2 linked regions of the Xenopus tropicalis genome follow. The protein of the gene in region 2 interacts with the protein of the main gene of each other region in a pairwise test. Links are inferred from orthologs where the notes say so. Each region holds a gene or a part of one and is shown on either strand. Other genes may lie near its edges.

Region 1 (4,891 bases), on a different chromosome or scaffold from region 2:
ACAAGGTTTTGAGCTGTATTAAAAGGGGTATAGATTCACGGGAGGAGGGGGTTATTCTTCCCCTTTACAGAGCGCTGGTAAGGCCCCATCTAGAATATGCTGTTCAGTTTTGGTCTCCAGTGCTCAAACGGGACATTACTGAGTTAGAGAGGCTCCAGAGAAGGGCAACTAAGCTGGTAAAGGGTATGGAAAGTCTCAGTTATAAAGAAAGACTGGCCAAGTTGGGTCTGTTTACACTGGAGAAGAGGAGCTTAAGAGGTGACATGATAACTATGTATAAATATATAAAGGGATCATATAATAACCTTTCTAATGTTTTATTTACCAGTAGGTCCTTCCAACGGACACGAGGGCACCCACTCCGTTTAGAAGAAGGGAGGTTCCATTTAAACATTCGGAAAGGATTTTTTACAGTGAGAGCTGTGAAGTTGTGGAATTCCCTCCCCGAATCAGTCGTGCTGGCTGATACATTATATAGCTTTAAGAAGGGGCTGGATGGATTCTTAGCAAGTGAGGGAATACAGGGTTATGGGAGATAGCTCTCAGTACAAGTGAGGGAATACAGGGTTATGGGAGATAGCTCTTAGTACAAGTTGATCCAGGGACTGGTCCGATTGCCATCTTGGAGTCAGGAAGGAATTTTTTCCCCTCTGTGGCAAATTAGAGAGGCTTCAGATGGGGTTTTTTGCCTTCCTCTGGATCAACTAGTAGTTAGGCAGGTTAGGTATAGGCATTATGGTTGAACTTGATGGACGTATGTCTTTTTTCAACCCAACTTACTATGTTACTATATCTTGTTACAGAATTGGAATTACACAAAAATTCTACCATATTTTGAAAGCTTAGGTTGTTCTGAAAAAAAGTTACGCTTTGACCAAAACAGCTGGCAGTAAAAGGGTTAATAGTGAGCACCGGGCGTTGAATTTTTTTGGAGAGCCTGGGTGTGGGGGAACGATCTTTTTTGTGTACAAGAATGCAGGTTGGCCAGGCAATCTCAATACTAATGCCATTTAAAGCTTACACAAAAGTTAGCAGTCACAGCAGCCAGACACATGGGAGCCACAGCCCAGATGCTGCCCGCAGGCCGCCAGTTGGACAGCACTGTTGTACTAAGAATATATGATGCTGGTTTTACTTTGTGCCAAAAATTTATATTTATAACCCATTGCCCACAACCAGCTCTCTTGTCACTCACTGGATCTCATTTAGACACCATATATGTCATGAGATTTGGGAACTATAGCTCTAACATTATAACCATAAAAAGGGCGGTGTATTATACACAGATAATAATACACAGACCTATGTATATATGCTCCTGCCTTCCATTTTGTTGCAACTCACTAATGTGCTTTTAGACGACCATACACTTTGCCGTTCCCCTACCATAAGGCACTCTATGTACCCCTCAGCTGTACAAGCTGCTAAAGTTGTCTGTGCCCCCCGGCGTGCTGCATACAGGTTACGGCTCAACACCTCCCCAGCAAACCCTCACTTGTACAATACACAAGCAGTTAGTCAGCAAGTCATTTAATTGAAGAGGTTTATTTATAAGAACTCTCCTAAAGGATAAGACAGACGAGCGCCAACAAAACCAACTTCTAGGCCCCGCCCCCTAATGACGCACTACCGGAGGGACACCGGAAGTTGGTCGCGCTGATGCGAGGCGCTCGCTAATAGAATTGGGAATGGCAGTAGTGTGAGAGACAGGGCTGTATGGGGGTGCTGGGAGGCTGCCCATTCACTCGAGGGACAACATGACATCGCGTAACCCGCATGTAGTGAGCGGGTAAGCAGCGAGTAGTTGCACTATTATCGCTTGGAATATGTTAGTGTTGTATGTTACAGAATTCTCTCACGTACTACTGCATGCTGTCTGTGTATTGGGGGATGCTGGGAACTGTAGTCAGTAACAGATAAGCGACTTGCCGTGCTAGAATAATGGGGTTATTTAAATAAACTGGGCAGGTTTGAGCTTTGCAGTAACCCATGCCAACCGGTGAGATGCCTCCATAGTGTATTACCTGCAGCTTGCTGGCAGCTATGGTTGCTATGGGTTACTGCCCTGTTGCAAATGTGCCCAGTATTTATAAAGTTTAGTTGCCCTCGTCTCATGCTTCCTACATTAAGGCTGATGCCACATGTGGCGTTTTTCCACTGCGTTTTTTCTCGGCCTAAAAACGCCGCACAAGCCACACAGCCCCTGACTATGGCGTTTTTAGCCTAGTACTGGTGATGTCAGCAAATCCCGTTTCCATGGTGCTAATAGTGTGAAATAGCAAAAAACGCTGCGTATTTCCGCTAGGTCTGGCAGCTGCCTTTGTGTATACATAGGAATAGCTTGATTTGCAAATACTGGCGTATTAAAGCCAACGCATGAAAAATCCGTGCTAAGGCGTTATCTAGCGTATTTCCGCATTGTGTGGTTCACTTTGAGTCTTTTCAAGCTGTTTCTATGGATGATGATATCGGGCGTTTTTCAGCCGCCGAGAGAATTAGAAAATACACAGCGGAAAAACGCCACGTGTGGCACCAGCCTAAAGGAGAAGGAAAGGTACAATCACTGGGGCCAGAATGTGCGGCACAGGGGCTATGCTACAGATGGCGGAGATTGTGCTATAGTGCAATGAGCCTTTGCTCACTGTAGTATTTTAACCGCTGCTGTTATCTCTGGGACGGCAGAAGCAGTCAAAATAGCCTGGGTGTTATAGCCCTAAGGGCACAGTCACACGTGGCATATGGTCCGCCAGAAAACAAGTGGATCTGCTCCTATATGCAGCTACATCAAGTGGAGGTAGAAGTAAACTGTAAACCTCTTGGCACTGCTCCCTAAGGATTTTAAAACAAGAACATTAGTAGTCTTTACTTGTAGCTGGTTAGTAGTTTATATTGTTTTCTTTGTCCGTTACATACTAAATACCAGCCAGCTACAAACAGCAGCTACAAACTTGTTTCTGTTACATAAGCCCAAAATATCTGCATGCAGGACCCATGTATTATAGAGAAAGATTAAAGGGGAACTCTGGCTCCCGGACCACACAACGCAGAAACCCATAATACACCTATAACTGTAATCTGTTCCTTCAAAAAGTATAAATAAATATCATTTTTATTTGCTGAAATCCAGCTGCAAAACAGTTCTTCTTTCTGCATCATTTTTAATTGATGTATATTGCAAAGGTGCTTGAAATTATGCTTACTTGTAAAAAAGCTTAGGTCGTGCTTTGGTGAAGTTGCCTTTAAGGTCTAAAATGTGAGGCTGAAGATTATTTGTAGAAGCTCATGAAGGGGAAATCGTTTTGACCTGTGGAAAGTATCATGCAGGCTTGTTTTTAGGGTAACCAGTAAGCGAGAGAAAGCACGGTCATATGTGTCGCAGTTATTTAATGTTTTGATTACATAATAATAATGAATTTAGCATTCAACTTAATCACCTGTTTGCTAATATGCCTCATATTTTAGCCATAAACGACTCAGAGCGCTCCTCAAGAAAGAAAGGCGTCGAAAAAAGAGACAGGCCCTTGCAAAATTAAGAGAAGGTACGTTGTGTACAAAAACAGGGAGAATCAAACTGTGTAAATGGGAAGAAAGTAAATAGCACATTTTACATGCCATTTGCAAGCGTGGTTATTTAAATATTTGCCTTCATTGAGTCCATTTCTGTGGTGTGCTTTATTAATATTAAAGTGGGCTTAAAATTTGTTATACGTAAATAATATGTTTGAGAAATGTAATTCTGTTGTATGCAGTATTAAAAGCAGATACTAATTAGGCTTTTCTTTCCCCCCCCCCACCTCAATACATTTCCCTGTTACTAGTTATCTACATGGCAGCTTGGTAAACCTTTTTAAGAAGCAGCAGAGGCGTTGCCAGACATGCTGATGTGCCGGAGGAGATATACAGGGCCTGTTTATTAGCTGACGGGCATGATTACATATATGCAAGTAGATATCAACAAATGAAACTGACACACGCTCCTATGCAAATTAATAGGAACATGTCAGTATTATATAATACAGTGTAGAAAAGTGTGCCAAGCCTCCACCAAACCATCAGTACTTACCACTGCCGACATTCTTACATCGCTTTAGTTCCTTGGCATAAATACTGCACAATTTTTCAAAGGACTGGAGTACAGTTTTGCTTTGGTCTAATAAATTGAAACTCATTTTTGAAAACTGTTGAAATCTGGTTGAACCAAAACATACAGGCAAATGTTAAACAGCTTGGTTACAAATGGGCCCAACTGACCTGCGCTGTCACTGCCTACAGACAGGGGGTAGTATCCAGCAGAGAGAAAATGTTGTGTGTGACATTAGTCTTAATATTTTATTTGCAAAATACTCAGGGAAAATAAATAATGAAGGTGCAGTCCCTTATGTTAAGTTAAGACTCAACCCATAATAGTACTGTAAATTCTGTTTTTAACTTTCAGATGATAATAATGAGGATGAACCATGTTCTGAAGAAGAAGAGGATGAAGCTCAGCTTGAGATTGAAAGGTCCACACTAACCCTTTAAACGCTTTTTCAGAATGTATCAGAACACTGTTATATGTAGAAGCCAGATACTTTCCATTTGACTCAATGTTATCTGTTCCAAAGCAGTGATCTCTAAATGATACTTGCTTATACACGAGTATAAAATCCAAAACTTAGTGTGGGTTAAAAGCATATAAGTTTGTTCCGCAATTTCCATTAATAATGTCCTTTAGTGTGGCTCAGTTACAGTTGTACTTTATTTGGGGCAATGTAAACAATATTTATAAACACACACAAATTGTTATTATTTAAAGAATTTGCACCTTTGTTCTTTTATTAATTAAGAAATACAGAATAGAAAAAATATTTTTTTCCCTATTCCAGTGCTGTGTTTCCCATTCTTTAATGTA
Region 2 (4,791 bases):
TATCCCTTTAACTGTGGCCCTATTTTTGACTGGCCATTCATATATATACCATACAATTAATTAATTTTTTTGCAATGTGAGATGTTTGCCTGAAATTGACAGCCCAGATAGTATAGCTGGCTGTGTAATGGTACAGTCAAGGGCTCAGGATTGGCAACACCTATAAAGAGCAGAAGAATGTAGCCAATCCCATTTTAAACAAAAGGTATGACTGGAAATAAGCAATAAATGTCACTAGGCAAATTAACATCACTTATAAGTTCATAGCTTGGCCCAGTGGCCCGGAATCCAAATCAGTGATGGAGCATGATAAGAGCCCAAATGTAATACCATGGAGCAATCCTGGATCATAACCTTTAGAGAAAAGATCCAGTTCTGCTTGACTCGCTGAGTATTTTGCACAAGAGCAAGCAGCTGGTTGATGGCTTAGGGTCACATGAGTCTTCAAAGATGACTATTTGTACATATCCCACTACAGATATCAGGGAGAGTGTATGTTTGTTTTATCTGACCTGTTATATGTAATGATGGAATTATGTTACCTTTTTCTTACACCTTACCTACTAAAGGAGGAGTTCCCGCTTGGTAAGTCGCTGATTCCTGACAGATGTTAGGGGTTTTCTTAGATCGAGGCACCTAATAAATCTGGACTTACAGGGGAATTAAAAACCTAATAGAGAATTTACTAAGTCAGAAAAAGCTGGAAAATATCTGTATACTTTATATTACTCTCTTTTTTTTTTTTTCTTTCCGTCCTTCCCTGACCCCCAGTTAATGGGGATTTGCTTTATCTCTTTAATTTTCTTTCCTCTGATTTACACTCTGCTTATCTCTTTTGTTCTTTGCAATGGTTTTGGCTTCATTTAATTTAAAATTGTCCATGGGTTCAGGAAATCAGGCCATAAAAATCTGACCTAGAGGCTTCGTAAGGTTTTGCTTTATAAAGCCCCATAGTGTTATCATTGTGGCAAGCTGATATCTTGGTACCCATTGTCTATTAGACTCCAGCAGCAGCAAGCACAATAACAGAAGGAGCTTGTATATAGGGTGGCAGCTCAACATTCCTGTTCTCCATGTTTTCAATGCATTCTGCTAATTTATATAAGTAGCTATCTTTGAGGCCATGCATTAGTCTTTGTGTTTATATTTAGTGAGCATGATGGATTTGTACTTAAAGGTTTGCTGTCCAGGTGGCAATTTGACAATAATACTTTTACCCTAAAAATGTTCCATTATTTGAACTATTTCAGTACGCATGAATATGGGGTATAGATAGACTTGCAATGTGTCTGCTGATGTTTTTCCCACTACAATGCCAGCAGTTGGCTTTTGGCCGGATGTTTTCCTTGATTTCTTCATTATCATATTTATTAAAAATGCTTTCACTGCCAATAGGAAGGAGGTGTCCACAGCCTGTTACCCAGCATGCAATCAGAGCTCCCAGCCAGAAATGGGGAAAGCAGGGGATTGAAATAATGTTTGTATGTGTCAATTGCACACTGAGAATCCACATTTCCTACTATTCTGTCTCTTTTGCAGTCCATTTGTTTGCAAATCAAAACAATGACAGCCTTATTCCTTGAAAATGTCTTTTTTTCTATATACAGTCCTACATTAGGACTAGTAAAGCCTTACAGTATGCTAGTCATTGTGAAATTCTTATGTATATCTTTGAATTTAAAAATTTACAGACATCATTTTCACTCTGCTTTGAAATGATTAATGTGAGAGGGGACCCTCTAGGAAAAGAATTCACACTTTCATTTCATAATTTCTTTGGTGTAACTCAGACTAATCACTAGGATGGATGTGACCTAAGTAAAATTCAGTATTTCAATTGAATATTGGTAGTGAGTGGCCATTGGTTTATTAATGGAATCTGCCAAAATGATGTGATGCCCTAACGCCTTGTTATGTATTCCCATCTAATGTGGGGCATTTACTATTGTTTTTTTTTTGGTTTGTGTTTTTTGTCATGGAACAAACAGCACATTTGTTGCAATTTATTATACAACAAAACTGTGACAATTCAGTCAATTGTTGTAGAAGTCAATGGCAGTTGCCCCTTTTACAGTTGGAAGATCCTTCTTTGCTTCATGGTTTTAGAGGTTTTCAGGGTTTGTTGACACTGGCATCAGTGCAACAATATGAAAAAGTTTTGTTTTTTGCGAAACAAGTCGAAAAAGTTGTGGTTTTTGTGAAAGAATTTGAAAAATTTTTGATAAATGACTGGCAATCATGAAAATAAGTTTACTAGTAGTTTTAAAAAATATATAGAAAACCGAATGTTAATAAATAAGTGAAGTCTGTTGGGAAATGAGTGGCATATATATGTTAGAAGTTTAGGATGTGGTTGGTAGACATAGCAGCAGTAGCAGTATGCTAGGTAGACATAGCTTGTGAGGCCCACAACACTTTGGTTACATCTATTTGCAAAATAACAGAAAAGTGGAGTCATCACACAGAAGGGTGCTTATCATTACTCCTGCCAGGGAACAATCTCAATATTTCATAAAAAGTTTTGTTCAGTTGCCCTTTGCAAGAAATGACTAGCCATTATTTACAAATGAAAGGTAATTAGTTAGTAGTAGGTGCAGTAGCAATAGTCCAGCTGAATTCCTGAACTGTGCTTTTGTATACAACTTACTTATATTCAAGGATAGAGAAGTAGGACCTAAATTGTGATTTATGTGACTTCAAAAGATTTAAATGGATATTGTTCAACACTAGAGAAAAGCATCTATAGAGGAACAGAACCATGTATCTTCACATAGTGTATATGTGGCCCAAGCCGTAAATGCAGGGCTGTGCTCATGCTTGCCCTGTAAATGCTGTTCAATGGAGAGACAGTAGTAAGATAAACACTCTCTTTAGAGTGTTAATCCATGTAGGATTCCAATTTTATTAAATGTTGGGAATAGCTCCTCATACATCTATGTAATACAAACAAATGTAAATATAAATACAACCAAATGTGTGCGACTGCTGAGACTGCTTACTACTATAGGCAACATGAAGTGAAACGTGTGGAATGCAGGATTACCTCATAGAGAACCAAGAGCAGACATATCTGATACTGTTTATTATGTACGTTAACATTCACGTATGGCTTTGATAGGTGTGTTGTTTTATTTAATGTCAAGCCTAGGTCTATGTAAACACCTGTTCTGAAGTCAAAGAAAAACCTGAAAGTCAGGTCTCCACTGTCACAAAAAAAGTGTTGCTTTCTCTCTGTATATAGGTTTATTAAGCCTCAAGTGCCCACAGTGCTTAATGATAGTAGATTGCCACAAACAGTAAGAAACAGCACTTTTATACAGTGTGTGTCTCAGTAGCAATGCCAGTGCAATCAGAGTGAAAGGCCCATACATTTCAAGATACTGTGCACCTTTTCTTTTTCCATTATTCGCTGTTCCATTCTTTTTCTATGGGTGCATGCAAATATTGTGCATGGTGACAATTTCATTGCAGATATCTCATGTCTGCAGAAGCCACTGCAGACTTTTTGTTCTGTTCTCTTTTGTTTTTCTTTTCACTGCCCGCTCCTTTCATTTTCTTCCTTTATTTGTTTTATTTTAAGTTAATAAAAATATACAGTATTTCTTGAATATTACATTATCCAATTTCTGAAAGCAAAGTGGTTATTAAGTTACAATCTTCATTTGCGATTTGGGTTCAGCACGTGTCATCGTTCTCTTGTTTTTTCAGATTTCCCAATCAGTTACTGGCCTTTTGGTCTCATCAGAGAGAGGGGTTTGTCGGAAGGAAGGTGGAAACGAGTATGACTCAGGGAACGATACATGCTCTCCTCCTTCAATGCAGATAAGCACTTCAAGGCTGATGGTCAGCCAAGAAAAAGAAAGCCTACCCCACCACGGGTTTCAGCATGCCTCCGCCTCTGGGAAAACCCCAAATGGCCCGAGCGACAATATCTCTGATTCAGGCAATTCATCGGCCAGTTGCTTCTCTTTCATAAAGGACACAGCACTTCTCTTGGGAGATAGTCAGAAACAGAAGAGGTGAAGATAATGCATTAACAAAAATAACTGGTTAGGAAACCATATCTAACAGATAAAACAAATGAAATAACAAAACAAATAAATAAAAATGTACATGATATCAGATGGTCTTATGACCATCTGATATCATGTACATTTTTATTTATTTGTATGTGGGTGGGTAAAGGGGGTGAGACAATTGGTAAGGGCTCTGGCACACGGGGAGACTAGTCGCCCGCGACAAATCTCCCTTGTTGCGGGCGACTAATCTCCCCGAAATGCCATCTCACCGGCGAGAATGTGAATTGTCAGTGGGATGGCATATGTGGTGCTGCGATTTTCCCAAAATCATGGAAGTTGCCTTGAGAGGAAACTTCCGCGATTTTGGGGAAATCATGGTGCCGCATATGCCATCCCACCGGTGATTTACATACTCGCCGGTGGGATAGTCTCCCCGTCTGCCACAGACCTAAGACCTGAAGTTGACTTGTAGACTGAAGTTAATTGTCATCTGTTCAGCCATGACAACCATCTAGAGCTGGATGTTCTAGCATTTTAAATAGTGGTAGGACTGGGGACACAATCACCATAAACAAAACCACAATTGGCAGAAAATTATATTTAGTAGGCAATACATTTCCCACCTGCCAAATATAAGCAGTTGGCTCTGCCAGTAAATAATAATGATGCCATCATTTTGTCATCTTTAATGAATTATGGCATTTTCCATGCATACTACATGAAAAATTTAATGCCATATCAGCTATTGCTGAAGTTAGACACAGCCATTTTA

Evidence for each region. The genes of interacting proteins can lie anywhere in the genome.
Region 1: the proteins of srrm4 (region 2) and zrsr2 interact in binary tests that used the Homo sapiens proteins (3 or more experiments, as listed by UniProt). The link is inferred for Xenopus tropicalis from reciprocal best matches to the Homo sapiens genes SRRM4 and ZRSR2.

Annotation. Positions count from the first base shown.
Region 1 is NC_030678.2:29,871,403-29,876,293, forward strand, and holds the start of zrsr2 (U2 small nuclear ribonucleoprotein auxiliary factor 35 kDa subunit-related protein 2), read left to right. Parts: upstream 1-1,621; 5' UTR 1,622-1,757; coding exon 1,758-1,789; intron 1,790-3,462; coding exon 3,463-3,539; intron 3,540-4,435; coding exon 4,436-4,502; intron 4,503-4,891. UniProt on the Homo sapiens protein: Pre-mRNA-binding protein required for splicing of both U2- and U12-type introns. Selectively interacts with the 3'-splice site of U2- and U12-type pre-mRNAs and promotes different steps in U2 and U12 intron splicing.
Region 2 is NC_030677.2:165,783,007-165,787,797, forward strand, and holds part of srrm4 (serine/arginine repetitive matrix protein 4), read left to right. Parts: intron 1-3,708; coding exon 3,709-4,019; intron 4,020-4,791. UniProt on the Homo sapiens protein: Splicing factor specifically required for neural cell differentiation.